Linked DNA regions of Mus musculus. The protein of the gene in region 1 binds, or shares a complex with, the protein of each later gene. Links are inferred from orthologs where the notes say so. Each region holds a gene or a part of one and is shown in the gene's direction. Other genes may lie near its edges. The genes, in order: Tmem231, Tmem67, B9d1, Tmem107 and B9d2.

Region 1 (6,102 bases):
CCCCAGCCATCCTGAAATTACAGGCACACACATCCTGATCTGGCTTTTTCCTGAGCTCCTGTTTATGCTGCCAGTGTTCTTTCCTACTGAACCAGCCTGGCTTGGATGGTTGTGCTAGTTTCATGTAGCCCAGGCTGGCCTCAGGCTTGCTTTGTAGCCAAGCTTGGCCTTAAACACCTGATCCTCCTGTCTCAGCCTTCAAAACACTAGGATTTCAGGTATGAACCCCCTACTCCCATCTGAAATACATAGTTGGAAGGAAATGACTTTATCATCTTTTGAGGCAAACTTCAGGGACAGGAGAACACAATGTAGATTGGGTTGGTCTGGGACTCACAGAAATCCACCTCCCTCTGTCTCTGCTTCTGCCTCCCCAGTGCTGGGAATAAAGGTATACACCACCACACCCAGCTAAGGCTAAACCATTTTATACTTCTAAATTCGTAACAGTCACCTCCCTGTCTCACCGGTGACTTAGCGACAGTGTATGTTTCCTTCTGTCGACTCTTTGGAGGCAAACATTCTCTTACTCAGAGAACAACCACCACAAAGAATCTACATTACATTCAGCCATTCCAAAACGGTTATTTAAGCACAGTTTTTATTTTTTAATTTAAAAATACATTTATATTTCCTATTATTATTATTATTTATTTTTTGAGACAAGGTTTTTCATTGTAGCCTTGGCTGTCCTGGAAGTCACTCTGTAGACCAGGCTGGCCTAGAACTCAGAGATCTGACTGCCTCTGTCTCCTAAACACTGGGATCAAAGCTGTGTGCCAACACCTTTATTTTAACTACATGTGTTTGGGTGTTTTGCCTGCGTGTGTGTCTATGGACCATGTGTCTGCAGTGCCCACAGAAGCTGTTGGATCCCCTAGGACTGGAGTTACAGTTGGCTCTGAGCCCCTGTGTGGGTGCTGAAAGTCAAACCTTGATCCTCTGGAAAACCGGCCTCTCCAGCTTACTTACATGTTACACTACATTTACTTATTCATTATTTGTGCATAGATGCAGATGAGCACCATGACAGGCATGTAGAGGTCAGAGGACAGCCTTTCCAGAATTAAGATAGATGGTGGGAGCTGGAGAGATGACCCAATTGTTAAGAGCACCGATTGTTCTTGCAGAGGACCTGGAGAAAGGAGAATTGAGGGCCAGCACAGGCTACATAGTAAGACCCTACTTCCAAACAGGTAAAAATCTGTCTTCCATGTTAAGATATTGGTGTTAGTATTTACCTAAGTGATCAGCTAATGCTAACTTTGGGGAAGACAGTATCAGTGTTTATAGCTAACAAAGTACAACAGAAGGAGCCATTTAGTAAAATACCCTTTAACCTTTTTTTTTTTTTTTTTTTTTCCGAGACAGGGTTTCTCTGTGTAGCCCCGGCTGTTCTGAAACTCACTTTGTAGACCAGGCTGGCCTCAAACTCAGAAATCCGCCTGCCTCTGCCTCCTGAGTGCTGGGATTAAAGGCGTGCACCACTACGCCCGGCCTTTTATTTTTTGTTTTTGTTCTAACCTTTAAATAATCAGGGGGTTTGTTTCCTGTTTTCTATCTTTCCTGCTATGGGGCATAGTGAAAGCATTAACCTTGAAGACAAAAGTACCTGGTTCTAGGACGGTGGCCTTGTTATAGGAATGTCCCGACTTCAGTATGAACCTCAATGGAGTTTTTGCATTGAAACAAAGTCTCCAGTATCTCTGGCTGGTCTCAAACTCACAATGTAGCTAAAGATGACCTTGGACTTCTGATCCTTCTGTCTTCACCTGAAGAGTTGTTAGTGTTACAGATGTGGGCCAAGGTGCCTGGTTTAATGAAGTGCTGGAGATGAACTCAGGGCTTCCTGTATAGTAGGCTAGCCCTCTACCAACTAAGCTACATCAACCATCCTTATGTCATGAGTTAATAGATGATCTATGGGGTGATGTCAACATCTATGCACGTCTGATTTTGTACAATTGACACAGACTTTGGTGAGTGAAAATATCATTACAGTTGCTTTCTTTTTTTTTTTTTTAAGATTTATTTATTATATGTAAGTACACCACTGTAGCTGTCTTCAGACATTCCGGAAGAGGGCGTCAGATCTCATTATGGATGGTTGTGAGCCACCATGTGGTTGCTGGGATTTGACTCAGGACCTTTGGAAGAGCAGTCAGCGCTCTTACCGGCTGAGCCATCTCACCAGCCCATACAGTTGCCTTCTTGAAGAGACGCGCAGGCACAGCACTAACACAGGACCCTCCTCCTGCTAGCTCCACCCCCTTCTAGAGGCCTGCATGCCTGCTATTGGTTCCTCTGCCCGCCGTCGGTTGCCGTGGAGACTCGGCGCTGCGGCCCTGCGCTCATGGCGCTGTACCATCTCTTCTCTCACCCAATCGAGCGCGCTTACCGCGCGGGGCTCTGCTCCAAGGCCGCGCTCTTCCTGCTGTTGACCACCGCGCTCACCTACATCCCCCCGCTGCTGGTGGCCTTCCGGAGCCACGGTGAGCCTGCCCGGGCCTGGAGGGCCACACGGCGCGGCCGGCGGGCCCAGGCCGGCAATCCTAACCTGGCTCCCCCCAACCCGCCTTGTCTCCCGCAGGGTTTTGGCTGAAGCGGAGCAGCTACGAGGAGCAGCCGAACGTGCGCTTCCAGCACCAAGTGCTGCTCGTGGCTCTCCTGGGGCCGGAGCCTGAAGCCTTCCTCGCCTGGAGCACGTTCCCCACCTTCAACCGGCTGCAGGGGGCTCACCTGCGCGTCCCGCTCGTGTCGGTGCGTGGTTCCCGCCCGGATCCTGGGGGTGATAGGATGGAGTGAGATCCCAGTTTGGGTCATTTGACCGGGTGTGAGAGCAGAGTCTCGTGTATCCCAGGCTTGCCTTAAACTATATAGCCAAAGTCGTCTTTCAACAACTGATACTCGGCCTTCACCTTCCCAGTGCCGGGGATTCGCTATGCAACGCCCTGCTGGGGTATATGGGGTGCTGGGAATCAAACCCAAGGCTTTGTGCTTGCATGCAAGGACTTAACCACTGAGCCACTCTCAGTCCCACAGCTTGGATCTTAAGGAGCCACGAGGGTTGGAAACAAAAGTCCCTTTGGCCTGCGCATGCTTAACTTTCTAGATAGTTTTATTCAGTTTCTCCAGGTTTCCCTAGAAAGGCAGCCGTGCAGGCACTGTGTTTGCCGGACAACAAGAGTCCAGAGCCTGTTTCTGGTGCTGGTCATTTTCTGAATGGAAAGGTGGCTGAAGAAAAAACCCCTTTGAGGGCTTGTAGGCGGAGTTCTGTACACCCCAGTACGCTGCTGAGTTTGAACATCACCAAGCTGTAAAGACAGAAAGTACCAGTGTTTTTATGCAGACTTGATGCGGGGTAGGGCGGGGCAAGCGGTGATTGGTTGAATTCTCAGGTCCTGCTCTAGCCAAGCCACGCCTGTCTGGGTTAGGCTTCTCAACTCTTTGCCACACTGCAGCTGTCTCCTGTGTAAGGGAAACATTTTACTGGCTGCAGTTTAGTGTTTACTTTCGCATAAATCAAGTGCTTCCTTACGGTCATCCCTTGCCGTTCATATAATGACATGGGCAGAGTGATGACTTTAACTAGGTGTTTGTTAGTAAATATTTTGTTTCTAACCTCCACCTGAGGCAGGATTGCCCCCCCCCTTCCCTGACCTATACAGCAAGCTCAGGGCTATTCAGTCTCAAAAGCGTAGCGCTGGCATGTAAAGTCAAAAGACAACTTGGAGGGGTCAGTTCCCTCCTGTCACTGTCCCGGGAATCCAGCTTGGATTCCCAGGGTTGGCTGCAGGAGTCTTTACCTGCTGAGCTATCTCATTACCCATCCTTGATTTTTTTTTTTTTTAATTTGCTCCAATCGTTTTACTATTAAAATTAGTAAGTGAATAAACAAAGCTTTAACTAAATCCTACAGCTTTTTTATTCTTTTTGAGATGGGTTATTGCTATGTTGCCTGCCCAAGCTGTAAGCCCAGTTCAGCCAGCTACGAAGCTGGGACTACAGACGTGAGGCCCAGACTTAAGTCATGCACGTCTGAATGCCAGTGGAAGCGTTTTGTTGAAATTTCATGCACTTAGAGAAAACAAAGCAAGCAAGTAAAGTAATTGTTAACTGCAAGGAAATAAGCCACGAGAAGACGCTAGGAAGGATGCGCAGTCAAGGTTGCGAACCGGACTTGCGTAGTAGTCTTAGTTACGACATGAAAGGCTGACTAAGCAAAATGCGCACCTAGGGAAACTGAAGGGATGAGAGAGGGGGAGGTGCGATGGGGCCTGGTGGGAGTGGGAGGGGAGCGCAGGCTCCAGCTTCCCCCGTGGAATGTCAGTAGAGGATTCTCATGAAAGAGGTGGAGACTCGGCAAATCTTATTTAAACATCTGGAAAGCGTTTCTTTCTATTTGTTAGAACAGGGTTTCTCTGTGTAGCGCTGGCTGTCAAATAACTTGCTCTGTTGACCAGGTTGGCCTCGAACTCAGAGATTTGTCAACCTCTCCCTCCCCTCTGCTACTACCGCCAGCCACCCAGCCTGGGGAGGGCTTCTAACACACTCTCATTAGGTAACTAATGCAAAAGTTTTTGCTTTGGAAGTTTTGTTTTGTTTTAACATCATTGCACTCTTTTATTCTTCAGATGGTCAAGACTCTTCCCCCAGGCCACCAACACATACCCTTTTAGTTTCTTGAGACTGCATGTCATGTCATCCAGGATGGCTTGGTTTTGTAGCCTAGGATGACCTTAAAGACTTTGTGTTTCGGTCTTCCAGCCTGTGCCTGCTCAGCGCTGAGACTGCAGTTGTGAGCCACCACGCCTGCTTTTACTATTTATGTACTTACCTTGCTGCTTTGCTTATTTTATTCTCTGTGTGTGGGTACTTTGCCTACATGCACATATATGTATACTATGTGATGCCTGGTGCCTCGGATCCCCTGGAACTGGAGTTATAGACAGTTGTAAACTGCCCTATGGGCCCTGGGAATTAAACCAGGATCCTCTAGAGGAACCGCCAGTGCTCTGAACTGCTAAGCCAGCTCTCCAGCTCCATTTATTAATTTATTTATCCCTAAGACAGGGCTTTGTAATGAAGTCCAGCTATGGGCCAGGTTGCCCATATGGATCTGGTGATCCTTCTCTTACTAACTACGAAGATTACAAGCAAGGCCGGCCACACCTGGCCCCATTTTTATTCTCAAGCCTCTAATGCAATAGAGCCTTCCTAGTGCTTCCATCCTTTAACACAGTTCCTTATGCTGTCGTGACCACAACTAAAAAATTATTTCATTGCTACTTCATAACTGTAATTTTGCTACTTTTATGAATTGTAATGTAACTGATATGCAGCCTCTGTGAAAGGGTCCTTCAGCTCCCCACCTCCCCAAAGAACTTGAGATCCATAGGTTGAGAAACTCCGCTCTAAGGCCTCTAGAGAAGAGTGATTGGGTGAGGGGCCAGGGTAGAGGTGGACCTGCCCTTCCCTGTGTACTCACTCACTGAGCTTCTTAAGATCCACACTTCATGTGTTTTCTTTCCAAAGGTGAAAACAAACAAAACCTATCGCTTCTCGGCCTTTTGGCTAAGATCAAATGTAAAAAACAAACAAACAAAAACCTTAAACAAAATTAGCTCTAGTTTTGCTGGGTGGTGGTGGCGCACTCCTTTAATCCCAGCACTTGGGAGGTAGAGGCAGGCAGATTTCTGAGTTCAAGGCCAGCCTGGTCTACAAAGTGAGTTCCAGGACAGCCAGGGCTACACAGAGAAACCCTGTCTCGAAAAAAAACAAAACAAAACAAACAAACAAACAAAAATTAGTTCTAGTTTTACTTTAAGACAGTTTTTTATTTGTTTGTTTGTTTTTAGTTGGCTGATTGGTTGCTATTTATCTTTGAGACAGGGTCTCTCTACATAGTCCAGACCAAACTCCAACTCACTATGCAAGCCTCGGCTGGCTTCAAACTGGCTGTCCTCTTGCCACCACCTCCCAAGCATTGGGTTGGCTGGCAAGTGCCACCACACCTGGCAAACATAGTGTGTTTATGTGTGGGATTTTGGTGGAAGGTGTTCTCCTTATTTTTTCCTCTTTACATTCCCATTGTTCTCATAT
Region 2 (5,514 bases), on another chromosome or scaffold:
AAAGCATCAGTTATTTTATTGTAGATAGGAAATGTGCCTTTATTTATAAATGTGCCCATTTAAAGTTATACCTTAAATCATGTCTTCAAAGAAGTTATAAATTTGCATTAGCAATCATGACTTACAGCTAATTTGACAAAATGATATTTCAGTGTTTAACTTTTTCTATAAAATTACAATGGGATGAAATAGTGGATTTTGTCTCTTTGTTAATGAGGATTAAAAGCTAAGTCTGGTGATGTGTTGGAATTGTAGAAATCAGTATTAACTTTCCCTCCTCATCCTTCTGTGGCAGCCACCCCTCCAGCTGTGCCTTCCCCCTTGTAGCTGACAGCTCCACACATACCTATTTAGTAGCCACATCCCATTGTCTTTTGGACGTGAAGTCTCTGCTTTAGCCACTGAGAGAGGAACTCTTCTGCAGAGTTACCATCCTGTACTTGGTCAACAATGCACCCAGGATGAGAACTCGGTGTAGATGGACCGTTCCTGTAACTGAGAGAAAGATGTTCCAACAACACACGGCTTTCTAGCTCAGTTCCAGAGACAGGAAAGACAGCAGGGGTATCTACTGCTTCTACGGGGCTTTGCAGCTTACCTTTGTATAAAGAAGTCAGACAATGTGCAGAGCCTAGAGGAAGGGAGTCATTTATGCAAGGGTCCTGTAGGAGAGGGGGAGGGAGGATATCTCCTCTTTTCTCATGTTCCTATTTTAAGGGGGGAAAAAAAAGAAGGCGAATTAATAGGTGTGTGGCTTGGTATATGATGTGCCCTTGTGATTATACTTGCTTTGTAAAGAGTATGTAGCTTTATAATTGCTCTTGAGTGATGATTCTTTTCAAGTGTTTTGTTGTATGTTACTTTTAGGCTCTCCAGTTTTTACATAAGTTCATATCCCAGATTTCCATAGATATATTCTTTATTGATTGGGAACGGCCGAAAGGAAAAGTTCTTAAAGCTGTTGAAGGTAACTGAAATTGGTGTTTGTGCCATAATTCTCTTGCTGCCTGCAGCGCAAAGGGAAAGTGCTGTACTCACGTGATCTCCCCTCCCAGGTGAGGGTGGTGTGCGGAGTGCCACTGTTCCTGTGAGCATATGGAGAACGTATTTCGTGGCAAATGAATGGAATGAGATTCAGACTGTGAGAAAAATTAATCCACTCTTTCAAGTGCTTACCACACTCTTCTTCTTGGAGGTATGTATGAGCTATCATATAATCATATGATGCTGCTTATTAACACTGCATAAGTGTTATTATCATCTCAAGTAATTTCTCAGACAGCGCAGCAGTTTTCTGTGGTAAAGTATTGTTGGCAAAACAGTATAAGGAAGTGTCCTTAACATTCCCCCTTTGTCCTTCCTATAAAACAAAAAAAAAAAAAGCAAAACTTAAATACGATGTGATGGGGCCTTAGAAAGTTGCCCATCAGAACCACTTTTAAATGCGGAGGTCAGTGCTATAGGTATATCCACATTGCAACAAATTCTCACCACATCTGCCTCCAGAGCTCTGTCTTACAACCCAAGCTCGTTGTGCCTATGCAACAGTTTAGAAGCCCCCATTTCCCTTCCCTGCAGCCCTGGGTACCACCATTCTACTTTGTGCCTCCTAAAGCCAGAGTACCAGTGATCTGTGGCAGAATTGCTAGTGAACTTGTGTAAAATACCTGTGTTGCTTATCATTACAGATCAGTTGTAGTATCTTTCAGGTGATCCCCTCTATATATTATCAAAGCCTTCCCTACTATAGGATCCATATTCTCACCCCTGCCTTGGGACTATTGTACTATTTCTACACTATTGTACATTTTCTACTTGGGAATTTGAGGTGAAAGTGTCACAAGTTCAAGCTCTTGTCTGGCCTTGAGAATAAGTTCAAGGCTAGTCTGGACAATTTAGTAAGACCTTGTCTCCAAATAGTTATGGGAAGTGGGGCATGCTGTGCAGGAGATAGCTCAGTAATAAAGCATACTCAGCATCCAGGAGGCCCTAGGTTTACTCTCCAGCATATCCCTCCACACAGGTAATGTGTTTATAGTATACAGCATGATTTGTCAGTATACATATATGTTGTAGAATGTACACATATATTTTAGAATGGCCAATCAACATGTCTCTTGCTTCACATACTTATCTTTTCGGTAAGCAGTGTTTTGTTTTGTTTTAATACTGTTTGATGAAGTCAGGTATAGTATTACAAGATTGTAACCCCCAAGTCTCTGAAGGGAGAAGCAGAAGAGAGTCAAGAATTCAAGGTCTACACCTTGCTGGCCCAAGCCTCTTTTACTATGCCCAGTGTTCCACTCCTGAGGGTGGAGTCCTCCTGTCTTAACCCTCTCTCACTTTAACACTGTTACGTTGAGGGCTCCTTTCTAACACATGCTTTCTGGGATTTACTTTCAGACCATGACACGTAATATTATGAGATGATACAAGCTTGCAAGATGTCACAGTTGCTAATTACAGGCCACTTTTCAAGGTAGAGATTGTTAACAGCAGCACTTCTGTTCCTCACTAGTCAGTGACAACAATGTGTTCACCTTTGTGTCAGTGTTTCCAGTGTGACACTAAAAACAAAGGCACATAGCAAGTTCTAAAATAGCCTAGCCTAGGCTAAGGAGACCCAGCTTTAAATAAATAAGTAATAAAATTTGAATATTTGGTGAACTTGAAAAGGTTCTACATGATTCTACGGTTAACTTTGCAAAACACATAAATAAAGGTTTATGGGAACCTTACTGTAAAATTTTTTAAGCTCTTTGTTTTATTTTACATGGGGATGAAGCATGGCAGTCAATGTAGTATACTCACCAAAGTTATTTAACTACAGCTTCATTTCATCCAGAAGGTACATTTCTTGGAAGGCATTTTGGAATATATTGTTTTGAAATACAGAAAGTATTTAGCATAGTGTCTGGTATGTGTTAAATACTCATGAATTGCTACTTGTTTGTTTAATTTATTGGTAGATTTAGGTTTGGTTTGTGTCTAAGTTTCCTACGGCTCCTAAGCTTGTTTTTCAAGGCAGGTAGGTAGAGAAACGTATTTCATTTTCCATCTAGAAACTTCTCTTCCTATGTCTGTTTAAATTCTCATTTTTCCTTTTCCCTCAGGTTGTGGGATTCAAAAATTTAGCGTTAATGGATTCATCCTCCAGCCTTTCTAGAAACCCATCAGACTACACAGCTCCTTACAGCCGCATTCTGAGATATGCCGTGGCTACTGCTATCTGGCTGGTGATTGGAATAATACAGGTAGACGGCATTGCCAGTTTGGAACCCTGCTTGTGTTCCTGTGTCTCTCAGGTGCTGAGTTTCACACAGAAAGAAGGCACAAAGCAGTCATAGAGCTCTCTGTGCTGATTGTATCATGATCCAGGCATGTGCGAATCAGTAACTGCTTTATACACGCTAACTACTGTGCATAGACAGGTTAGTCAGCATCCTCCTGTGACAAGACAGGAGACAGGAGGCTCTGGAGAGTTGACAAGTTGCTAAAGGTCACACACATGGGAATGGCAAAACTGGAATTTGAACCCAGGCAGTTTGGGGTCAGAGTTCATTTTTTATCACTTGTGGCCTCTTTTTAGAAACTCAGATCCAGGGCAGATGTGCACTATATTTTCTTTCTCTTGTTTATATTTTTTATATAGAATTTTCTTTACCTGTTTGTTTAAATTATCATTTTCCTTTGGATTGGATTCATGTGGCATTCCACAACCTGAGGGTGGACTTTTCCCCCATCCTGAGAACTGATTTTTGGAATGTACATTTTTTGAGCATTGGTGATACTGTTCAAACTTGAAGCTACAGGACTGGAGCTAGTGAAAACTAGTAAACTTAATACCAGGAGAGAGGACACGCATACAATAGAATTTGAAATAAGACCCTTTGATGAGTGTGAGTTTGATGTTTGGAAGTATTGTGCACAGTCCACTGTGTTTTGTGAACATGGCTACTGCATCTGAATTTAAAATAGTATCATTGGAGGGAATTTCATGGAATTCCATCTGAAGCATTTCCCATTTCATTAAATGTAACAAGAAATATTTCCTTCCCCTTCCACATTCTTGTGAAAGAGCAGAAGCCATAGTGTCAGCTTGCTGTTGTCATCAGGGCCAAGGAGCCTGCTCTCTGCCATGTGGAGCCTCCAGCCCCGAGTCCATCTCCTGGGCTAACGGCCGATGGATAGAAGGGAATTAAATGGGAGTCTAGTTTTTTCCTCTCCCTTTTTGTGTAAGTCTTGGGGCAGGAGAAATGACTCGGTGGTTAAGAGCACATTCCATTTCGACTTTGTGGCTGTGACATACACCAATGACAAAAACAGCTTAGGGGACAAAAGATTTGTTGGACTTATACTCCCAGGTCACAGATGATCACAGAGAGATGTAAGGGCAGAAAATCCAGCAGGAACTTGAAGCCTCCCTGTATTGCAGGGCTGCTTGCTGGCCTGCCCGTGAACTCATGCATGACTAAGTTTCTCATACAGCACAAGACCACCTACCCAGAGAATGGTGCTGCCCAGAGGTAACTGGGCTCTCCTACATCAGTTAATAATCAGGGCAGTCCCCAGCAGACATGCCCACAGGCCAATCTGACCTGGGGAGTCCCCAAATTCTGGGTCATATTAAGTTGGTGATTTAAGCTAGCTAGACTCACCTTGGTACTCCTACAGAGAACCAGAACTGCAGTTTCTAGAGGATCGATGGCCTCTCTGGCCCCTGTAGACACCTGCATGCACATGCACATATACATGCTCACCAGCAGATGCACACACACTTAAAAGAAGTAAAAATTTTCAAACAAACCAAAAGAACAAAAAACAAAACACCAAAGAGCTTTTGTGAAGTACCACTAAGTATCTTCTTGGCTAGGAGTCATTCCTATGGCCATACCTAACTGTGCTGATGCCCTTCAACTGGGCATCAGTGTGTCCTGACCATAGTACAGGTCTGTGGCTAAGAAGAAAGGAGAAGGTGGCTAGGACAGTAACTGGCAATCTTGCCACCGCCTAACCTCATCCTGTGTTCCCACGTTGCCTTTAGACCAATAAGAAAGAAAGCCTTTCTGTCTATTCTAAGGATATCCCTCAAATATCTGTGAGTTCCTTTGCCTGTTCAAAAGCGGGTCTAATTGTAAGGGGAGATTCTGATACTAAGGTCTAGTTCCCTAATTGGTTCTTGATTTGTCAATAAAGAAGGCTGGGAGTCAATTGCTGGGCATAAGGTACAGGTGGGACTTCTGGGTCCCAAGAGGGAAAGGAGCCACAGGGAAGTACAGAAGGAGCCAGGGGGCTTTTCTGCCATGCTTTGGAATGAGAAGAAGGCAGCAATCATGTAAGGTCTCTGAGCAGCTAGGGCCTGTGGCCTCTGCTATGGGCAGATTGCCAAAGATTTTTGTCAGGGACTAGGTAGAACAAGCCACTAAGATTAGGGCGGGAGGAGAAACGGAGATAATAAATCGGTAAGGGCATGCCTTTCCAGGTGGGAGGTATCTACACCCAGAAATTGTGCTT
Region 3 (6,255 bases), on another chromosome or scaffold:
GGAACGTCACAAGCCAGGCCTCCATCATCTGAACTGCTCTCAACGTTCTTATCTTCCTACAGACCAGCTCACTGAGCTCTCAACGCTCAATGGCTCTTCAAACCCAAAGCTCCAAAGTCTCTCCACAGTCCTCCCGAAAACAACATGGTCAGGTCTGTCAGCCATGCCCCACTCTCCTGGTACCAACTTGTCTTAGTTACTATTGCTGTGATGAAACACAATGACCAAAGCAAGTTGAGAAAGAAAGATTTATTCAGCTTACACTCCCATCATGGTTCATCAACAAAGGAAGTCAGGATAGGATCTCTAACAGGGCCGGACATAGAGGCAGGAACTGATGAAGAGGCCATGGGGTGAAGGGATCTGCTGCTTTTTACTGAAGTTAGAATCATCAGCCTTGGAATGGACTCAGCTCACAGTGGGCTGGGCCCTCCCACATCAATCAGTAATTAGGAAAATGCCCCACAGGCTCACCTACAGCCCAATCTTAAGGAGGCATTTTCTTTTTTCTTTTTTTTTTTTAAACAATATCAGCCAGATATTGGTGGTGCACACACACTTTTATTTATTTATTTATTTATTTATTACATGTAAGTACACTGTAGCTGTCTTCAGACACACCAGAAGAGGGCATCAGATCTCATTATGGGTGGTTGTGAGCCACCATGTGGTTGCTGGGATTTGAACTTCAGACCTTCGGAAGAGCAGTCAGGTGCTCTTACCCACTGAGCCATCTCACCAGCCCCCAGGAGGCATTTTCTTAACTGAGACTCCTGTCTCTCTGATGACCCTAGCTTTTGTCAAATTGACATAAAACTCACCAGAACATCTACCAGGGTCCTCGAGCACTCTACAGCTGCTGGGTGAGAGCCTGGGGATGCTTTTCATTATCTTACCTCTGCAGTGATAAGGAGAATGAAACATTTTATAAAATGAGGGTTCCTTGATGAAGACTTATGGCTTCACTCATATGCCCAAACCAGGAGCATACGGTATCTCCTGCTATGGATGCCTTTAGTAACTAGATGGGAACATTCTCCTACAGGACAGAAAAGGCCTGAGAGAGTACAGGTACCAGTGACTGAAATCATCCCCAGGTTTGTTTTCTCATAGAACTCAGGATCACCAGCCTAGGGTAGCACCATCCACAGTGGGCCTGGCCCTTCTCCACCAATCACTAATTAAGAAAATGTTCAACAGGCTTACAAGCCCAATCACATGGAGGCTTTCTCAATCTTGGTTCCCTCCTCTCAGATAACTATGGCTTGTGCCAAATTGACAAAAAAACTAGCCAGCACAGACCTCTTCCTAAATGTCTCATCCTGTTGGTTTAGGACAGAAAAGCCTTATCTAATGAGTAATTTGGGGATTGAGAAGGCTTCCTTTCAGTAGCCTGTATCTTTCCAACGCTTTCAGTAAAGAACAGCAAGTGGCAGCCACCGGCTAGGAGAGAGGGGCCTAGAGCCTCTGCTTGTATGACTCTTGGCTCTAAGCTAAAAGAATTTCTTACATGCTTGCACCTCGGCCCACCTAGAACGCTGTGACCACATGCCTTTCCTCTTCCCCATAGGTGGCTTTGGGAATCCCGCCAACTGACTTCCAAGCTAACAGTTAGCGTGACCTGGTGTCATTACTGCAGGCTGAGCTCCCTAAAGTATACACATCTGCATCCGTTTGTTTCCAGGCTCCCTCATCATTAATGTGCTCTTTGATGTTTCCTTATAAGCTCTGAAAGTGAAGTCTGATTCTGCAGCTAAATTCCTGTAACGAATATGGCTAAATTACCTTCCAGGTCTGGATTTCAGTCACGCCCTCCAGAAAACTGAGATGTGTTCAATTTTATTTATTAAAGAAGTAGTTCCCAAATATTTTGCACTGGCCGGGCAATGAGGACCAGGCATTCAATGCCCCTAGAGTCGAGCTGGGGATCTAAAGGCAAGAAGCTCGCATTAAGCCACCTTGAATTGGACAGTGATAGAGTAAGTGCAGTTGAATCCAAGCACTAACAATGGTGTCTACCGAAAAGGATGCTGGTGGCTTGGGACCAAGCTCTGACATCCCTGAGCTACCAGTGATTTTCCAAAATTGGGTGACTGGTTCCGTGGGCTCCAGCTTCTCATGCAGGACGCGGGACTTGGACAAATGGAGTCTCCGGGTTTCGATGACAAGAGCCTCATAGGGCTGAAGGGCGCATTCTTCACCTGAGACAATGTGCTGGGTGATGCCCGCTGGACCACTCCCGCGCACCAAGCCTTCCAACGATGGCGTCTTTGCCGTCGCTGTGTGTGGCAACAGCGACACCACCTGGAGAGAGGTAACTCTAGCACGTGACTTTCCGCGGGCCTGAGTGCCGGTGCTGCTTCTTCTCAACATCCAGCTTTGCAGCCTGCGAGCTTCAAGCATGGCCAGACGAGTGAAGTCACACAGTGCGGGTCCGTGGACCCGCCCCTGGGGGTTAGGTTCCGCGCGACAGACACGGAGGACAGTGCCCAAAGCCATAAAGACTACTGCGCCTGCGCACTCTTACCTTTGAGCGAACTCGTCACCGCTTGAGAAATTTGTCCTAGACGACTTACCGTCTGTTTCCAAGACAACCGAGAGCCTCCTGGCAACAGCGCGCGGCCTGCGCCGGTCTCCCGGCCCATCAGTGCAATGGCTGCAGCAAGTCCCAGCGTCTTCCTGCTCATGATCACCGGGCAGGTAGAGAGCGCACAGGTAAGCAGTCGTGGACTCCGCCCGGGGACGGCCTGTTTCTCTCCCCGGGCTCTTCGCTCAGCTCCTAGAAAGCCAAGATGCTCTGAGCATCTCAAATAAATGGAAAGGAGAAGCAGCATTTGAGAACCTTGGCTCCAGGTAGATGAACCGGACAAGCTTGAGTGAAAACAGACCTCGAGGCGTTCAGCTGGTACCACTTGGATCCTGTTTACTTGGTTGAGTGGTGGCCTAGGACTAATGGGACTGAAGACTCAGCTGATCCATTTAACAGCTGGGAACTTACCGGAAGGCAGTGGCCAAGGTGGGATTTGACCCGGTCCGTCTAAGAGACAGAACTTTGCTACATTATTCTTCTGGGCTGCTTGTTGAAAATGCCCATTATTCCTACATATTCTGAGGTTTGGCTGACATGCTTTAGGTTCTGCCAAGTCTGAAGCTCAGTAGGTGTTCCTGCCTTCCCATTCATTGGTACTGCGTCCTCCCTGTTTTCCTCTATCCGATTAGAGGATGTCTGGGCTGCTTACTCTGGACACCTTCCTTGGCGTCTGCCCTGGGCCTTCCTTTCTCCGGGACCCTCAGTTTTAGCCATGTTCTTTGGCCCTGTAGCTTCTGGGTTTCACGTGAGCATCATTTCTGTAGAGCTAATTTGTGCCCAGCACTGGAGATGCGCTGAGGCATGAAACCTGTTCCTTCTTCAGTCTAACAGGGTTATCAGATAGACATTAGGTACCCACATGCAGAAATGCAGAGAAGTGAAGGGAGCCAAGCAATGATCCTTAAGCCAGCTAGAGACTGAAGGGGAACTCTGAAAGATGGGCAAGGGGCCTACCACATGTGGACTGAGAAAGACAAGACAGAAAGTAGACCCTGAGCAAAATAACCTACGGGTATTGGCAGTCTGGGACTAAGCCTGACTTCCTGATTTCCATTCCCTGCCCGCCCTGAAACCCATGTCCACCTCCTCAGTCCCAGATGCCTCGTGTTCCTAATTCCTGTCCACTGCATCTGCCTAGCTAATGTGTGGGCCCAGTTTGCCCTTTCTAGACAGAATCCTGTATACTTTTTCTCTCAGTTTCCAGAGTATGATGACCTCTACTGCAAGTACTGCTTTGTGTATGGCCAGGACTGGGCCCCAACAGCGGTAAGTTGGACTCATGGGCCTCCTCTGGTTAGAGCTTTGGTGATTCCTGAATCATACCCTTCTATTCGAGACCAAGAGGTAGACACTAAGGTCAGAGATGACCTAAACATTGCATTTGTTTTTGGGGGAAAGCTAGTTTATAGAATACAGTCACTACTGGGTTCGCTGGTGTACCCCTGGAGTCTGTTAGTGGCAGCTGAGAGGGACAAGTAGCAGCCTAACCAGGCAGGCTCTGGAGAACCACCTGCCAGTGGCTTTGGACAGCATCAGCCAATACCCCCACCTGAAAACAAAACATGGCCCCTTCTCAGGCAGCAGAAAACAACCAGGAGCCAGGACAAAATGAAGGATCTCTTCTTAAGGTTTTAAGGAGTCTTTTTACCACAGGAAGCGGCTGCAGTGCAGACCACTATGATACTATACAATAGTTTAAAAAGTGGAAGCCAAACAGGATAGCATATGCCTGTAATCCAGCACAGAAGGCTGAGGCAGGAGCATCTCTAGGAATTCAAGGTCAAGCTGGGCTACATATATAATACCAAACAAATGGAAAAAATAAAATTAAAGCCCGACTTCTTTGAGCCCAAGTTTCTTCATTTGTATCACGGACATGTTAATATTTTTTGGTTTTTCTAATGCTTTCAATATATATTAGAGATTAATTCCATTTTAAATTATGTGTGTGTATATATCTGTGTATGGGTATGAATGCAAGTGGCTATTGAGGCCACAGGTCAGATCCCCTAGAGCTGTAATTATAGGATGTTGTAAGCTGCCTTTGGGGCTGGAGAAATGACTGAACAGTTAGAATGGGTACTTTTGCAGAGGGCCCCAGTTTGATTCTCAGCACCCACATTGTGGCTCACAACCATCTGTAACTTCATGACTATTTGAGTCCTCTGGGAGTGACCAATGTCTGACAGAAGCCCCCATCTTGTAGAGACATCTGTTCTTGTTAAGGAGACACTAAGTTGGATACATTCTGGTCTGTTAGCCAAAGATGGGTGGAATGAAGAGGGAGTGGATCAGGAGCTAGAGTGTATGACTAACTGGGAGGGAAGAATCTAGACCAAGGCATTGTGGATAAATATTTAAAGGGAGAGTGGAAAGAAGCAACATAGAACTTAAGTGACCTCCCCAACTTGCCTACTTAGACAGAAAGGTCATGGGTTCCTGGAACTCAAACCAGCTATCTCTATATCTATGTCTATTCAGGGTCTGGAGGAGGGGATCTCACAGATAGCATCTAAGAGCCAAGATGTACGGCAAGCACTGGTGTGGAACTTCCCCATCGATGTGACCTTTAAAAGTACCAACCCCTATGGCTGTGAGTCTGTGGGCCATGCTGGAAGGGGGAGATCTTCTGCCGCATCTGCCACCACTCTCCTTCTTTAGGCTGCCCTGCCAGTGTCTGAGTTTGTGCCCCAGCTTTTGATGCACTCAACATCTGCCTTTTTTGTTAAGTGCAGTTTGCACATGGAGCCTGCAATGCTGCAGCCACGTGGCCTGACCCCAAGTTGTCCAGCTTCCCATTGTAGTGCTCCAGTCAGCTCCAGTATCGGCTCATCCTGTACTAGTTGCTCAGGGCCCACTTCTGAGCCTTCTGCTCGTGTTCTGGGTGAAGCTTTCCCCTATAGCCCCTCGGTTTCTAATCTGCGTCCTTGCAAAGCAAGCAGAACAATGGAGATCAACCAGGGCAGGCTAAGGTTGATCTGCCAAGGTTAGCAAGCCTGTAGTCTCAAGGCAGTTCAGAGAACACTGAGTGTACTGTAGTACTGTACCTGCCTGCCTGAGTCTTTCTAAGCACATACCCAACAGAGAAGAGCACACAGTGTGACAAGAGCCCGTGAGTGACTGATCTGAGACTTACTGCAACAGTTCTCAAAGGAACAGCTCATGTGCCCACAATCACAGTTAACTGCAGTATACGGTGGTGGTCAGATATTTGGCACCGAGAATGAACAAGCCACTATACAGGAACTATCTATCTGAGTAACTCCCAGGTTACCTTTGGTGGCAGAGTAATAGTGTGGAAGGCACAGATTTCTTCATCCTTTACTGAGCACCCCCTGTGGTTGGTACTATTCCAAGGCTTTTAGACACAAGAAAGGTCATGAGAGAAAAGGTTGGACTTGTCTGAGGCCGTTCAACAGTAATTACAGAGCCAACTTCCAGGCCTTACCTGTCATTTAGAGTAGCAGATAGTAGTAGATCTGTCTGCTACATAGAGAGGGCAGACACCTTAGAAGGCCTGACTGGATATGAAAAGGAAGCATTTGGAAACGTCAATATGTTAAGGAAAAAATACCTGGAAAGCCATGATTTCCCACAGGGTATCACAGTTGGTGAAAACCACACGCATCAATCAGTGAGTAAGAAAGCAGGGCTCAGGGTTCGAA
Region 4 (6,255 bases), on another chromosome or scaffold:
CACTGTTCCGTGCTTTCATCTTGTCTGTGCCCTAAGTGAGTTGGTACATTTTATAGCATCCTAACTTCTGTGATGGAGAATACAAAAAACTCACCTCTCATTAGAAAACAAAGAAGAAGAAGAAGAAGAAGAAGAAGAAGAAGAAGAAGAAGGAGAAGAAGAAGAAGAAGAAGAAGAAGAAGAAGAAGAAGAAGAAGAAGTAGTAGTAGTAAATAAATGTAGTTATAAGTGGTGATGAACACTTTTGACCCCAACACTCTGAAAACAGAGGCAGGAGGGTCTCTGTGAGTTCGGGGGCCAGCCTGATCTACAAATGTGAATTCTAGGAAAGCTGGCAGTACATAGTGAGACACTGTCTCAAAAACAAAACAAAACAAAACAAAACAAAGCAAAAAAAAAAAAACCCAACCAAACAAAAATGGCTATCTTGAGGTACCTTAATTAAAATAATTAACAGTCTTATTTTTAAAGACTTTTTTGAGACAGGATTTCACTGTGTACCCTACAGACCTGTCTGCCTCTGCCTCCTGAGTGCTAGGACTGAAGCTGTGTACCACCATGCCTGGAGATTTATTTTAAATATTGTGTATGTGCATTGAGTGTGAGTCCTTGTGTGTGTTTGTGTGTGTGTATGTGTGTGTTGAGTGTGATTGTGTGTGGTGTGTTAAGTGTGAGTATGAGTGTATGTGTGAGTGTGTGTGCATGTGTGTGTTGAGTGTGTGTGTGTGTGTGTGTGTGTGTGTAGTTTCCAGAAGAGGGCACTGGATCTGGAGATACAAGAAGTTGTAAGCAGCACCATACGAGTGCTGGGAACTGAATTTAACAAGAGTATTCTGTGCTCTTTCTTTCAACAGAGGGTTTCTGTGTAGCCTTGGCTGTCCTGCTTTGTAGACCAGGCTGGCCTTGAACTCACAGAGATCTGTCTGCCTCTGCCTCCTGAGTGCTAGGATTAACACCTGGTGCAAGGATTAATCACTAAGCCATTTCTACATTTTTTTTTGTAGAGACATTTTAGTTTTTTCCTTTTATTGAGCTGACTATATAACCTAGCATGACCTTGAATTTCTAAACCTCTTTCCCCCACCTCCCAAATGCTGGGACTATAGGTGTTTCCCCCTATCCAGCTTAAGACTCAATTTTATATGAAAAAGTTATAGTTTCACCATATAGGAGCTTGAGTGGAGCTCAGTAGTAAAGTAATCATTTAGCGTGGTCCATACCCTGTGTTTGATCCCCAGTGCAGCCCACAGGCAGAAGCTTCAATAAGTAGGAGCTGAATATATAAGGACATTCAATGCTATAGATTATTCTTTGTGTTTTAGAATGCCATTCTCTGCGTTGATAATACTATAGGGTCTCAGAAGGGAAGATGGGAGGATGGCTCAGTGGAGGGTGCTTACCTACCTATATGTAAGAGGCCTGGAGCTTATCTCCAATACTGAAAAAAAAAATCAGGAAATTACATGATTACAATGCTGTTGTTTAAGTTACAAACCCTATACAAAACTTGCCAAGCATCTCACCTCAGTCTTTTATAATAAAAGGGGGCGAGGGGGGGGCAATTCTTTTGCCTGGTTTGGGATCTCAGGTTCAGTTAGACACCCCCCTACCCCCCGTTCATTTAGAAGACCTCCAGTCTGTCTTTCATGACCTTTAACTGGCTTAGGAAAGGGAACCCCATGTATTACTTTAGGGAGACAGAATCATTTCTTCTTCTTCTTCTTCTTCTTCTTCTTCTTCTTCCTCCTCCTCCTCCTCCTCCTCCTCCTCCACCTCCTTCCTCTCTCTCTCTGCCAATTCCTTGAAACAAAAATTTAAGAAGTATCTATTTTCAAAGCTTCCCTTTGATATTATTCTAGTATTATCTTTTAATTTAAAAAAATTATAGCACGCATTACCTCGCTGGGTTTTGTTCTTGTTTTGGCTGTTATCAATCTCCCCACCTAGAATATAACCTGGAGGGACTTTATCGAGGTACTCTCAGATTTGGGGCACAGTGCCTGGCATCTGGGAGACATCAAATATTTGTTGAATAGATGAAATCCCTCTGGTCCTGAGCCTTGTCTTTTGGGCTGGTTTAGAGGCACAAAGAAAAAGGAATGGAGGGACCAGAGAGTGCAAGTGGGATGGGAGGTCCATTGACATGGGACTTGATTGTGAACTGGAAAGTGCTGAGAACTTTCCGATTCTCCGATCTGCAGGGATTTCATCCGAAGCCCCAAATCGGTCACATCACCCTAAGAAGAGGTTCTTGGTCTGTAACTGAGCAATGTCCGGGGCCTAACAACTCAGAGCAAGAGTGAAATCGGTGGTGGGTCAGCGTCCCAGCCTAGGCTAAGCGCAAGCAGTTCCAGTCCCCCGCTCCATTCTTCACCCTTTCAGATCCCCTCGGTTCCCGAGGCAGTCACCTCACCCACATCCAATTTTAACCATCCCAAGGCTGCTCATTTCTGCACTCGGCAAATCTCTCATGACACGGAGACAAGTTATTTAGGAAGAAATTAGAGTCATTCTTCGGCAAAGTTTTGCTCTAGGGCGGAAGGGGGAGTCCTCTGACAACCAGGGGCTAGGGGACTTAGCCTGACCCTGGGACAAGCTCGGTGCATCAGCCTCTCCTCGTTCGTCCCCTCGACTCCTAGCGCCCAAGGCAGTGAGTGGGAAGCACAGGAGAAGGGAGGATTTGGTGGTTCTGGCTGCATCCTCTTGGGTCCATCAACGGCTCACGTACCGCGCCTATAGACGTTGGTAGAGGGAGCAGCACTATCGCGAGACTTCCGAAAGCAGCAGCGTGGCGCTTGCGGACGCAGTTACCATGGCAGCCGGGCGGCGCCCGAGCGCGCGGGAAGGACACTTAAGTAGAGAGGTCTGGCCTGCTTGCTCAGGGAGACTTGATGAGTGACCCACCCCAGACTTCCAACCTCAAAACCCACGGCCTCCACTCGAGGCCCCCGAGGCCATGGGTCGGATCTCCGGGCTCGTGCCCTCTCGGTTCCTGACGCTCTTGGCTCATCTGGTGGTTGTCATCACGTTGTTCTGGTCCCGGGTAAGACGCGGACAGGGCGCGCGTGCGCGTGCCCTCCTGGCCCTCCCATTCTCATCTTGGAGTGGACCCAGCTCAGCTCAGTCCACTCACACAGGGTCCGTTCGTTGCTCCGTTCCCCGGCCCCTTCCCAACTTGTCCCCGCAGCCCCATTCCTCTTTTGACATTTCTTTCTTTCTGCCCGGCTCGCCAGGAAAGCAACATCCAGGCTTGCCTGCCTCTCAAATTCACCCCGGAGGAATACGAAAAGCAGGACAACCAGTGAGCTCTTGGGGCGGGGTGAGAGTGCAGGGGTCTTCAACAGAATCCAGAAACCTTGGTCCAAGCCCTTTTCTCTCTGCAGGCTGGTAGCCGCGCTCTGTCTCACCCTGGGCCTCTTTGCAGTGGAGCTGGCTGGCTTCCTCTCAGGAGTCTCCATGTTCAATAGCACCCAGAGCCTCCTCTGTATCCTTTTTATTTGGCCATCGTCCTCAGGTGACTCATCCCAGTTACCACTCTTTCCACCTCTGTAGGCCTTTGGGGCACAAGTGTCTGCTCTACATGGTAAACCGAATCTCTCTCTAGGTGAGAGGTTTTAGACACTGTTGGGGAATTAATAGACTTCAAACATTCGTTAAATCCGGATGTGAGCCAGGTTCTGGCGATCCCTGGATGGGAGTAAAATCATTTTATCCCGTTTGAAGAGGTGGCAGACAAACATCTGTAAATCAGTGTGATTAAACAGTATGCTTGTAGGTGTGTGTAAAATACAAAGCACTATGGGAACTCAGAAGGGACCAAGAAAATAGAGCCCAGGTGTGGTTCTGCAAGCCTTTAATCCTAGTGCACGGGAGGCAGGGGCAGGTGAATTTTTTGGGTTTTTTTAAATCTTATTTTACTTATATATTTAGGTTATCTAAGACAGGGTTTCTCTATGTAGACCTAGGCTGTCCTGGAACTCAGTAGACCAGGCTGGCCTCGAACTCCGAAATCCACCTGCCTCTGCCTCCCAAGTGCTGGATTAAAGGCATGCACCACCACTGCCTGGCTTGTTTTGTTTTGTTTGTTTGTTTGTGTTTTTAAAAAGGTAGCTCTTTACTCTTGAATTGTGGACAAGGAAGACCAGGGCACTGGAGAAATCCCCAGTGTATCAGATCTGTAGGTATTCTTGTGTGGCCTAGGGCATATATGACATTAACCTTCCCAGAAGTGTACAGAGTGTACAGGGAGAGGTCCTATCAAAGCAAACTCAGCTCTGGTCTCTTACACATAACTGTCCATAAATTCAGAAGGCATTGGCTGCCAACTCTGGCGCTTGTCTTAAGGGAAGGGTACAAGCTGAACCCAAGTCCAGGTACCAACGGGGCCCATCACGAACCGATTACTTTCCTTGACCCCCTCTGTATTGTTAAGCCATTGCAGCCCACTGTAGCGCGTCTGTGGCCCTGTCTTTCTTCGTATTCGAGCGATGGGAATGTACCACGTACTGGTACATTTTTACCTTCTGCAGGTGCCCTAGCACCCAATATTTTGGAATGGGGGGGGGTGGTGGAAAATCGATCCCAAATCTGAAGGTTTCCCCCACCTAGACCTTTCCTGCACATGTGAAATTGGTAGAGTTTTGAAGAGTCATACCCACCCTAACCCACCCGCATATAAGGTTTGGAGGTTCAAGTGTTTGGGTTGGAAGGGGCTCTAACTCCCCCCCCTCCCCCGCGGCCCCGTACTTTTCACAGCGCCTTCCCAGCTGTCACTGAAACTGCATTATTCATCGCTGTCTTTGGGCTGAAAAAGAAACCCTTCTGATCACAATCCGGGTGTAGGGACCAAGGCTGGAAAAGTGATGAAGCTTCCTCCCACTGCTGCAAGAAAAAGGCAGAGGCTTCAGTTTTCTCTCGCCCAAGTCCCTTGCTCCTCCCAACTGCGGCTAAGCAGAGGATGGCAGTGTTGGAATAAGATCTCTCAAATCTTGGATTATAATTTTATTAGAGTTTTGTAATAAAATTTATTTTATAACAAGAGCAAGGCGTATACTATTTTTCAGAAGACCATTGGATGGGCCAAGAGGCTGGTATAAATAAAGGCTTTTATCTTGTGGTTAGGGCTAGAAGTAATGCTTCTATTTGGGTTTTTACGCTAGAAGCTAGGCGGAAGTGAGTGGGCGGGGATATGCAAATAACTATCTCACATAGCGCTTCTAATTTGCCGCGTGTGAGGGGAGCATTCTGGGATGGTTTTGTTTCTCCCTTTTTGTGCCGAATGGAGAATAAAATACTTCAAACGACTTGCAAATAGATATTATTCTTGCGTTGCAAGAACTGTAAGTCACTGGGCTCGTGCTAAAGTGACGTATTCTCACCCTTCCTTTAATAGGAAATGTCTCTACTTATTTAGCAATGGGCTCCCTCTGCCTTTTATCGTCAGGAGGTTAATCCTTACCTGTTCCTCCTTTCGGAGGGCAGTAGAAAATGATGATTGGAGCTTGCATGATCTGCTGATTAGCATTTCCATGCAATCAGGACCTGACAACATCCTGGTTGCTCCTATCTGATTCCCTGGCGATCACACTTTTCCAATGTGCTGATTGGTAGACCTTTACAGCCAGACTGTGTGCTGTTTATAATTTGTCCTAAACTGGCCAGTCATAGTTTTAAGGTCTTCACTTCTATGGTAAACAATGCCATCAAGGTGGCTGTTGGTTGTTTGCCCAGCTCCTGGAAAGCACCCATGGCCACTCCTTATGCTTGCCAGGAGGTGCTTTCTGATAATTCCTTAACTATTACCTAAAGCATCTCTTGTCTTCTTCCCCACATTCAATTTAATGATCTCCTTACCATAGGCAAAGCCCTGTTAACAGTACTGAGAAAATAGATGTGATATGACCTATACTCAGCTTTGGCATACAGAGACAAAAAAGTTTTACAGTACTCCCAGACTTATTTAATCCTGTAAACTGTGGTACATGCTTAAAAAAAATAAGTTTCAGAGTCACCAAAATGTTACATATGTCTCAGCTATTGCTGAGAAACTTAAGTACAGCTCTGGGAGAAGCCCACACCCACACCCTTGCATTTGTCTTACTGAACTTGGAAAACATTTCTTTTTCCAGGAGCCTTACTGACAGGTTGCCAAACCGAACTCTTACTTAAATTAAACAGTGTGAACTTGCAATTAAGTAGGTTATATTTACACTGAAGATACAGCTAGCTCACTGGTAAGTGCATACTTGCTATGCC
Region 5 (6,178 bases), on another chromosome or scaffold:
CCTGGAATGTTTCCATGAGGAGTGAGCAGGTACACAGCCTATCCATAACCTGTGCCTTGTTTTCTTTGGGCATCAGGTATATTCGGTTTATGAAATCCACCGAGACGTTCGCTTACTGTGTGTGCACTTTTCTGTACCTAATACTTACAAAGTGATGTTCTTGAAGAAGGTGGTTCAGATCCTTCTGTTCCTAAAATGAGTCAGTGGCAGAAGAAAGCAAGGTGTGAAGCCCTATTCCAGCTGCCATGGAGAACACCATGGCAACCACGTGGTTCTAGACTCCCATTTCCAGTGAATACCTGAATAAAGTGTGGGCTCTAGTTACACTGAATGCACTGTGACACTCCAAAGGAGGGAAATTCGGACACACACTTACAATGTGGATGAGCCTGCATGACAGAATTACTGAATTAAATAAGTCAATACAACAAATACTGTATGGCCTGGAGAAATGGCTCAGTTGGCAAGAGCATAGTGTGCTCTCGCATAGGTCTCAAGTTCCATTCTTACCGTGTGTCCTGGGTGGTCACTACTGCCTGCAATGCACTCTCCAGAACGCCAGATACTCTCCTGTAGCCTTGGCAGGCACTGCATGCACCTGGTGCTCAGATATACGTGAAAAACACCAGTGCAAACAACAGATGTTTAAAAAGCAAGCACACAAAAACAGTGGTGTTAGTGTTGGTAACACATATCCTGAAAATTGGAAGGAAAAAAAAGTGGATAGCTTCTAGGGACAACCTTGGAGGTTGGTGAGCTAGCTTCTGGCCTCTACATATGCACCATACAAACAACCACCCATACACCTGAACACACCACACACACACACACACACACACACACACACACACACACACCACACAGACGAGCTATCTTCTGGCCTCTACATATGCACCATACAAACAACCACCCATACACCTGAACACACCACACACACACACACACACACACACACGACTTAAGTTCTTGTTTTAGTTTTAGTTTGTTTGTTTAAGGGGGATTGGCCTGGAACTCACTTAATAGCCCAGGCTGGCTTTAAATTTGCAGCATTCCTCCTGCCTCAGTCTCTCATGAGCCACAATACTCATCATAAAATTTTTAAAATTTGTTTCCGACTTGGGAAAAAAATATATATATATAAAGGAGAGAGGCTTTCTTCCCTGACTTCCTGCCAAAGGGGCTTCTTCCTTCCTTTTGTAGGATTTATTTTTATTATTTGTGTATGCCACCTGTGCGCGGGGCAGGGGTTGAGGGTGGGAAGTGTCCTCTGGGACGCCAGAAGAGGGCAGAGTTGGAGCTGGAGTTACAGAATGCTGGGAACCGAACTCCAGTTCTCTGGAAGTGAGGCAAGCGCTCTTGTTGCACCATCTCTCCAGCCCCGTCTTCCTCATTTATCTTTACTCCAACCTGTTTGTTCAAAACCAGCTGCTAGAATGAACTTTGCAGTGACTCTGAGAAAGAACTTGGACTTCTCAGTCCTTGAGAAATCTGAGGAAGCTCTGAAAACTGAAGAGAAACCCACTTCCCAATTTCTCTAGTGTCAGAATATGGAGGTCCTTTTTTCCCCTCCAGCTACAACATAGAGATGACTACTATGGGAGTCCCTTTAGGTGCCCGTTTAGTGTCGGCTGGCTCCATTCTGGCTGTGATCCTGAACAGGAAAGGTGTTTTGTTTTGAGGAAGCAAAGAGCATCAATAGATTTGCTTATTGCGTGAAGAAGATATGGAGAGGAAACAGTTGGCGTTCTAACTTCCTCAACTGCTGATAGAGATAACCCGCCAGGCCTCCCACTCTGGGGCGTAAGGCGTCGCAGGAGCAAGACCTATGCAATTCTCGCAAAAAAGTCCCGAATGACCGCGTCCATCACGACTACGCCCCGCCCCCCAGAGGGCAGCTATAGCACCAATCATCAGCACGCAGGGCGGGCTCAGGGGAGGAACCTGCTGTTGCCCCAGCAACAGTCGGGGCACCCCAGGAGAGCGAGGCTGCGGATCTATCTACCTCAGATCTCCCTCCGCCTGGAAGGGCCCGGGAGGGGAGCGAGACTAGTCTCGACGGCGCCCGCAAAGAAGCCCGTGAACTACCATCCCCGAGGCAGCTTTCACTTCTAACGGTCAAGTACGCGGAGGTAGGAATGACGCATGCGCTACGCCTACGGGCAAGGGTAAAGCGGCCCTACACCCGAGACGAGACGCATGCGCCTTTTGAAGCTTGGCTGATCTGCCGCGAAGGGGCGGGGCCTTGCACATGTGGGCGGGGCCACAACCCTGGGGCGGGGCTTTCTAAGCGTCTGAGCCTTGGTTTATTTATTGGTGCAGGTTCCCACACCTCTGGGAGACTTCCCCATTTTTCTTGGGCTTTTCTGGGGACGTGGCTTGTATCTGTGATGAAGGCCACATTGTCAGTGGGTTGGTGGAACTAGCTTAGAATCACAGTGCTGTTCTTTATGTGATAGGCTTCAGTTTTCCCAGCTGTCAGATGGAAATAATACAGTTACCTCACAGGGTTGTGATTGAATTTTTCCTTTCCTAGAGCCATGGCTGAAGTGCACGTGATCGGGCAGATCATAGGGGCCACCGGTTTCTCGGAAAGCAGCCTCTTTTGCAAGTGGGGCATCCACACAGGTATCCTCCTCACACCTTGTTCATCTCCCAAACAATACCCAGCTCCCTCCCCTAGCCTAAGTCTCCATGTTCCTTCCTCGATTCTCCAATGAACTCATACTGTTTGCTTCTCTTTATCCTTGTCTTTCATGTTATCTCACCATCGGAAAACATAGCCCCTAAGCATATGGGGCTGTGACATAGAAAACACGCGCGCACACACACACACACACACACACACACACACACACACTTCCTGTCCTCAGGCCAGTAGACAAACTAGGTGTGCTTATGCATATCTGTAATTCCAGCACCTAGGAAGCCTTCTATTACAAGTTTGGGGCCCTGTCTCAAAGAAAAGAGCACAAAATATATACAAGATTATTGTAAGTTCTAGGGAAAAAAAGAAAGTGATGTGCTGGGGGCTGATTTGGGATGTGGAGGTCTGAGATCAGAGAAAGCCTTTCTGTGCAAGTGGCACTTGAATTGGGGGGCAGGAGGAAAACAGCCGGAAATGGGCACCCAGTAGCAGACGTTTCAGGGCAAAAGGAACAGCCGCTGCCAAGGCCTTGAGGCAAGGGAACAGGATGGGACCAGTGAGGCTTGAGGGTGGGGAGCGGCAGTGGCAGATGAGTGACAGGATCCAGGTCACACATGGGCCTTCGTGGCAACAGTGAGGAGTCTGAAAGCTTCGTGTGTGTGTGTGTGTGTGTGTGTGTGTGTGTGTGTGTGTGTGTGTGTGTTGGGAGGGGGCAGTTAGAATCCCAGAGAGCAGATAAGGTGAAGGCATTGCCCAGAGCGTTTAGCAGAGCATCTGGGGTGTAGTGCTCAGTATGTGGGCACTGCTTCTCCTTGCTCCTCACTGGGGTTGTGATGTGCTCGCAGATGGTGCCCAGTCTCTTCTTGGTCTTTGACGGAGGCTTCTGAATGTGGGGTGCATAGAGGAAGGAAAATGCTGGGGATCTCGTCACCCGGGGAGCGTAGGTCATCCTTAGCTACGACAGAGGTTTGAGGCTAGCCTTGGCTATATGAGACCTTGTCTTAAGAAAGGAGGCTCTCTGTTGGTGCTGAGAGTGCAGCTCATCAGCAGAGCATAGAGCGTGTGCCTCTGGATCACATCGCCAGCTGCAGTCATGAGGATTAACAAGTGAATAATATTTTAAAAATTCATAGTTCATCCTTGCTATGTGAGTCCTCTCATAACTTGTGAGATTGTGTTTTTTGTCGCTTGTTTTATAGACAGGGAAACAGAGAGAAGCTACTCTGCCAGGGTTGCATCAACTTGGGCTGGGGAGTGTAGACTGTTGCTAGAGAGCTCTTGCATATGTACTGCTCTAGGTTCCATCCCTAACACTGCAAAATACAGAACACATATATGAATCGTGCCAGGATTTCTACACGGGATTCTCTGTGTAGCCCTGGCAGCCCTGGGAACTCCTTCTGTAGACCAGGCTGGCTTTGAAGTCACAGAGATCAGCCTGCCTCTGCCTCCCCAGGGCTAAGACCAACTGTGTGCACCACCACTGCCTGGCTTTATTCTCTCTCACGTGCTCTTCAACCCCTCCAATTTTTCTTTAGAGACTGAGACCCACATTGTAGCCCATGCTGACCTGACACTCATCAGGCAGCCCAAGAAAGCCCCAAACAAACTCCCAAGTGCTGAGATTTCAGATGTACACTGCCAGTGCCAAGATCTGGATCCAGACACTTGGCTCTAGAGTCTACACTGTGTAACTCCCACTCCCAGATACCAGAGGGAACAAACTCATTGCCACGGCAGGTCCCCTTCTTGAAGGTTGCTATCCCCCAAACCCTGATGTCCTGGTTCTCATTACAGGGGCCGCATGGAAGCTCCTCTCAGGTGTACGAGAAGGCCAGACACAGGTAGACACACCCCAGATAGGGGACATGGCTTACTGGTCCCACCCCATTGACCTGCACTTCGCTACTAAAGGTCTCCAAGGTGGGTACAGGATGACAGGATGGGGAGGGGCAGTCAAACTAAGAGGAGCTGGGCTTGGAACACCATGGCTGTCTGCTCCCTGTACTTTGTGGGTCCCTTTTCTGGTACAGCCTCCCCTAGAGCAGTGCATTTGAGGCCTCACCCGAGCTATTCAGAACCCTAGGCCTGTGGAATGTGCCGGAGGTTGGGGTAGAGAAGATATCAGGAAGTGGGGGTCAAGTGGGAGGGGCCTTTGACTAACGGCCACTGAGGAGGCTGCATAGGGTAAAGAGAGATAGATAGGGAGGAGAGGGACAGGAAATGGGCCAGTTGCCGTTGCTCACACAGGCAGAGGTTCTGCTCAAAGGGGAAGTGAGTCTTCGAGGGAGGAGGAGGGTATCATGTCAGTGCAGCTTTTCTGGTTAAAACACAGCAGATTCTGGGAATGAGGACTGTTGACTGAGCCTACGTCTGTCCAGCTTGAGCAGGGACATCCCCAACTAAGAAGGACCCTCCAAGCCCTGTCATCAAGGGTTCCATTATAGGTAGAAGATAGACCTGTTTCCAAATGTGGCCAGCACAGAGGCCCTGGAAACACAGAAGTCATCTCTGATTGGTCCCATGGCCTTATAGGGCAGAGCAGTTAGAGTTCTGCTGTAAAGGGCCAAGAGAAGCTAACTAGGCCCAAGGACAAAGACAGAGGGTGGAGTCAGAGAGCTGGAGCCAGGTAGAAATGGGGAGGTGTGTCCTGGGTATTCGCTGTCTGTGGGTGAGAAGGACAGTGGGGGATGAGGCGGCAGGGACAGAATGTAAGGCCTCGCCTGCAAAGGCACTAAGACTGATTCTCGAAGGCTCTGGGGAGCCCAAGAAGAAATGGATGGATCAGATTCTCCTTCTGAACAATTGTACTAGTTTGTGAGGGTGATACGTTGGAAGTTTTCCTCAGTCCTGGCCTTAGCTGTCTTCCTCCCTGTTTGCTTCCTTCTTAGTCTCTCAGCTCACCAACAAACCCTGGCGGCTCTGAAACCCACTTTTGTTTCTCACCCCATCCCACCCAGCCTTCTCTGTCCATCTTCTCTTTCCGGGACCATTTTTTGTTTTTTGTTTTGTTTTGTTTTGTTTTGTTTTTCAAGACAGGGTTTCTCTGTATAGCCCTGGCTGTCCTGGAACTCACTCTATAGACCAGGCTGGCCTCAAACTCAGAAATCTGCCTGCCTCTGCCTCCCAAGTGCTGGGATAAAAGGCGTGTGCCACCACGCCCAGCCTTCTGGGACCATTCTTTCTTTCTGTCTTCACTGTGCTCTCAGGGTTGGATACTGGACTGGACCCTGGGAGGACCTAAATACAGCATGTTCTTCCTCTGTATGGAACCTGCCTGCAGGCCTCCTATCGCTCAAGAGAAAAGCCGGAGCCTTCTCTGGCGTCACAGGCCTATGGAATCTGGCTGTCACCTCTGTCCTTTGTTCCCCACGACTCCCCGTTCTAGCCTCATTGGCCCCACCAGGCTAGCTCCTACTTCGGAACTTTTGCACTGACTGGATCTGTCATTCCCCTAGGTGCCTAGAGAGCCCACTTCTTTAAGCATTTATGTTGCATCCTGGTTGGCTTGTTTGCTTTTTGAGATAGAGTCTC

The links.
Region 2: Tmem231 (region 1) and Tmem67 share a complex: the UniProt entries of both Homo sapiens proteins name them as parts of the tectonic-like complex. The link is inferred for Mus musculus from reciprocal best matches to the Homo sapiens genes TMEM231 and TMEM67.
Region 3: Tmem231 (region 1) and B9d1 share a complex: the UniProt entries of both Homo sapiens proteins name them as parts of the tectonic-like complex. The link is inferred for Mus musculus from reciprocal best matches to the Homo sapiens genes TMEM231 and B9D1.
Region 4: Tmem231 (region 1) and Tmem107 share a complex: the UniProt entries of both Homo sapiens proteins name them as parts of the tectonic-like complex. The link is inferred for Mus musculus from reciprocal best matches to the Homo sapiens genes TMEM231 and TMEM107.
Region 5: Tmem231 (region 1) and B9d2 share a complex: the UniProt entries of both Homo sapiens proteins name them as parts of the tectonic-like complex. The link is inferred for Mus musculus from reciprocal best matches to the Homo sapiens genes TMEM231 and B9D2.

What each region holds. Positions count from the first base shown.
Region 1 is NC_000074.6:111,930,018-111,936,119, reverse strand, and holds the start of Tmem231 (transmembrane protein 231), read left to right. Parts: upstream 1-2,306; 5' UTR 2,307-2,353; coding exon 2,354-2,492; intron 2,493-2,590; coding exon 2,591-2,760; intron 2,761-6,102. UniProt on the Homo sapiens protein: Transmembrane component of the tectonic-like complex, a complex localized at the transition zone of primary cilia and acting as a barrier that prevents diffusion of transmembrane proteins between the cilia and plasma membranes.
Region 2 is NC_000070.6:12,049,128-12,054,641, reverse strand, and holds part of Tmem67 (meckelin precursor), read left to right. Parts: intron 1-346; exon of another isoform or gene 347-495; intron 496-598; exon of another isoform or gene 599-867; coding exon 868-967; exon of another isoform or gene 968-1,055; coding exon 1,056-1,195; exon of another isoform or gene 1,196-1,360; intron 1,361-3,113; coding exon 3,114-3,254; intron 3,255-5,514. UniProt on the Homo sapiens protein: Required for ciliary structure and function. Part of the tectonic-like complex which is required for tissue-specific ciliogenesis and may regulate ciliary membrane composition.
Region 3 is NC_000077.6:61,502,557-61,508,811, forward strand, and holds the start of B9d1 (B9 domain-containing protein 1 isoform 1 precursor), read left to right. Parts: upstream 1-2,587; 5' UTR 2,588-2,652; coding exon 2,653-2,715; exon of another isoform or gene 2,716-3,016; intron 3,017-3,787; coding exon 3,788-3,856; intron 3,857-5,071; coding exon 5,072-5,183; intron 5,184-6,255. UniProt on the Homo sapiens protein: Component of the tectonic-like complex, a complex localized at the transition zone of primary cilia and acting as a barrier that prevents diffusion of transmembrane proteins between the cilia and plasma membranes.
Region 4 is NC_000077.6:69,067,991-69,074,245, forward strand, and holds Tmem107 (transmembrane protein 107), read left to right. Parts: upstream 1-2,818; 5' UTR 2,819-2,956; coding exon 2,957-3,043; intron 3,044-3,233; coding exon 3,234-3,301; intron 3,302-3,383; coding exon 3,384-3,484; intron 3,485-4,432; coding exon 4,433-4,529; coding exon of another isoform or gene 4,530-4,608; exon of another isoform or gene 4,609-4,755; coding exon 4,756-4,825; 3' UTR 4,826-5,303; downstream 5,304-6,255. UniProt on the Homo sapiens protein: Plays a role in cilia formation and embryonic patterning. Requires for normal Sonic hedgehog (Shh) signaling in the neural tube and acts in combination with GLI2 and GLI3 to pattern ventral and intermediate neuronal cell types.
Region 5 is NC_000073.6:25,678,850-25,685,027, forward strand, and holds the start of B9d2 (B9 domain-containing protein 2), read left to right. Parts: upstream 1-1,930; 5' UTR 1,931-2,129; intron 2,130-2,308; exon of another isoform or gene 2,309-2,533; 5' UTR 2,534-2,537; coding exon 2,538-2,625; intron 2,626-4,441; coding exon 4,442-4,567; intron 4,568-6,178. UniProt on the Homo sapiens protein: Component of the tectonic-like complex, a complex localized at the transition zone of primary cilia and acting as a barrier that prevents diffusion of transmembrane proteins between the cilia and plasma membranes.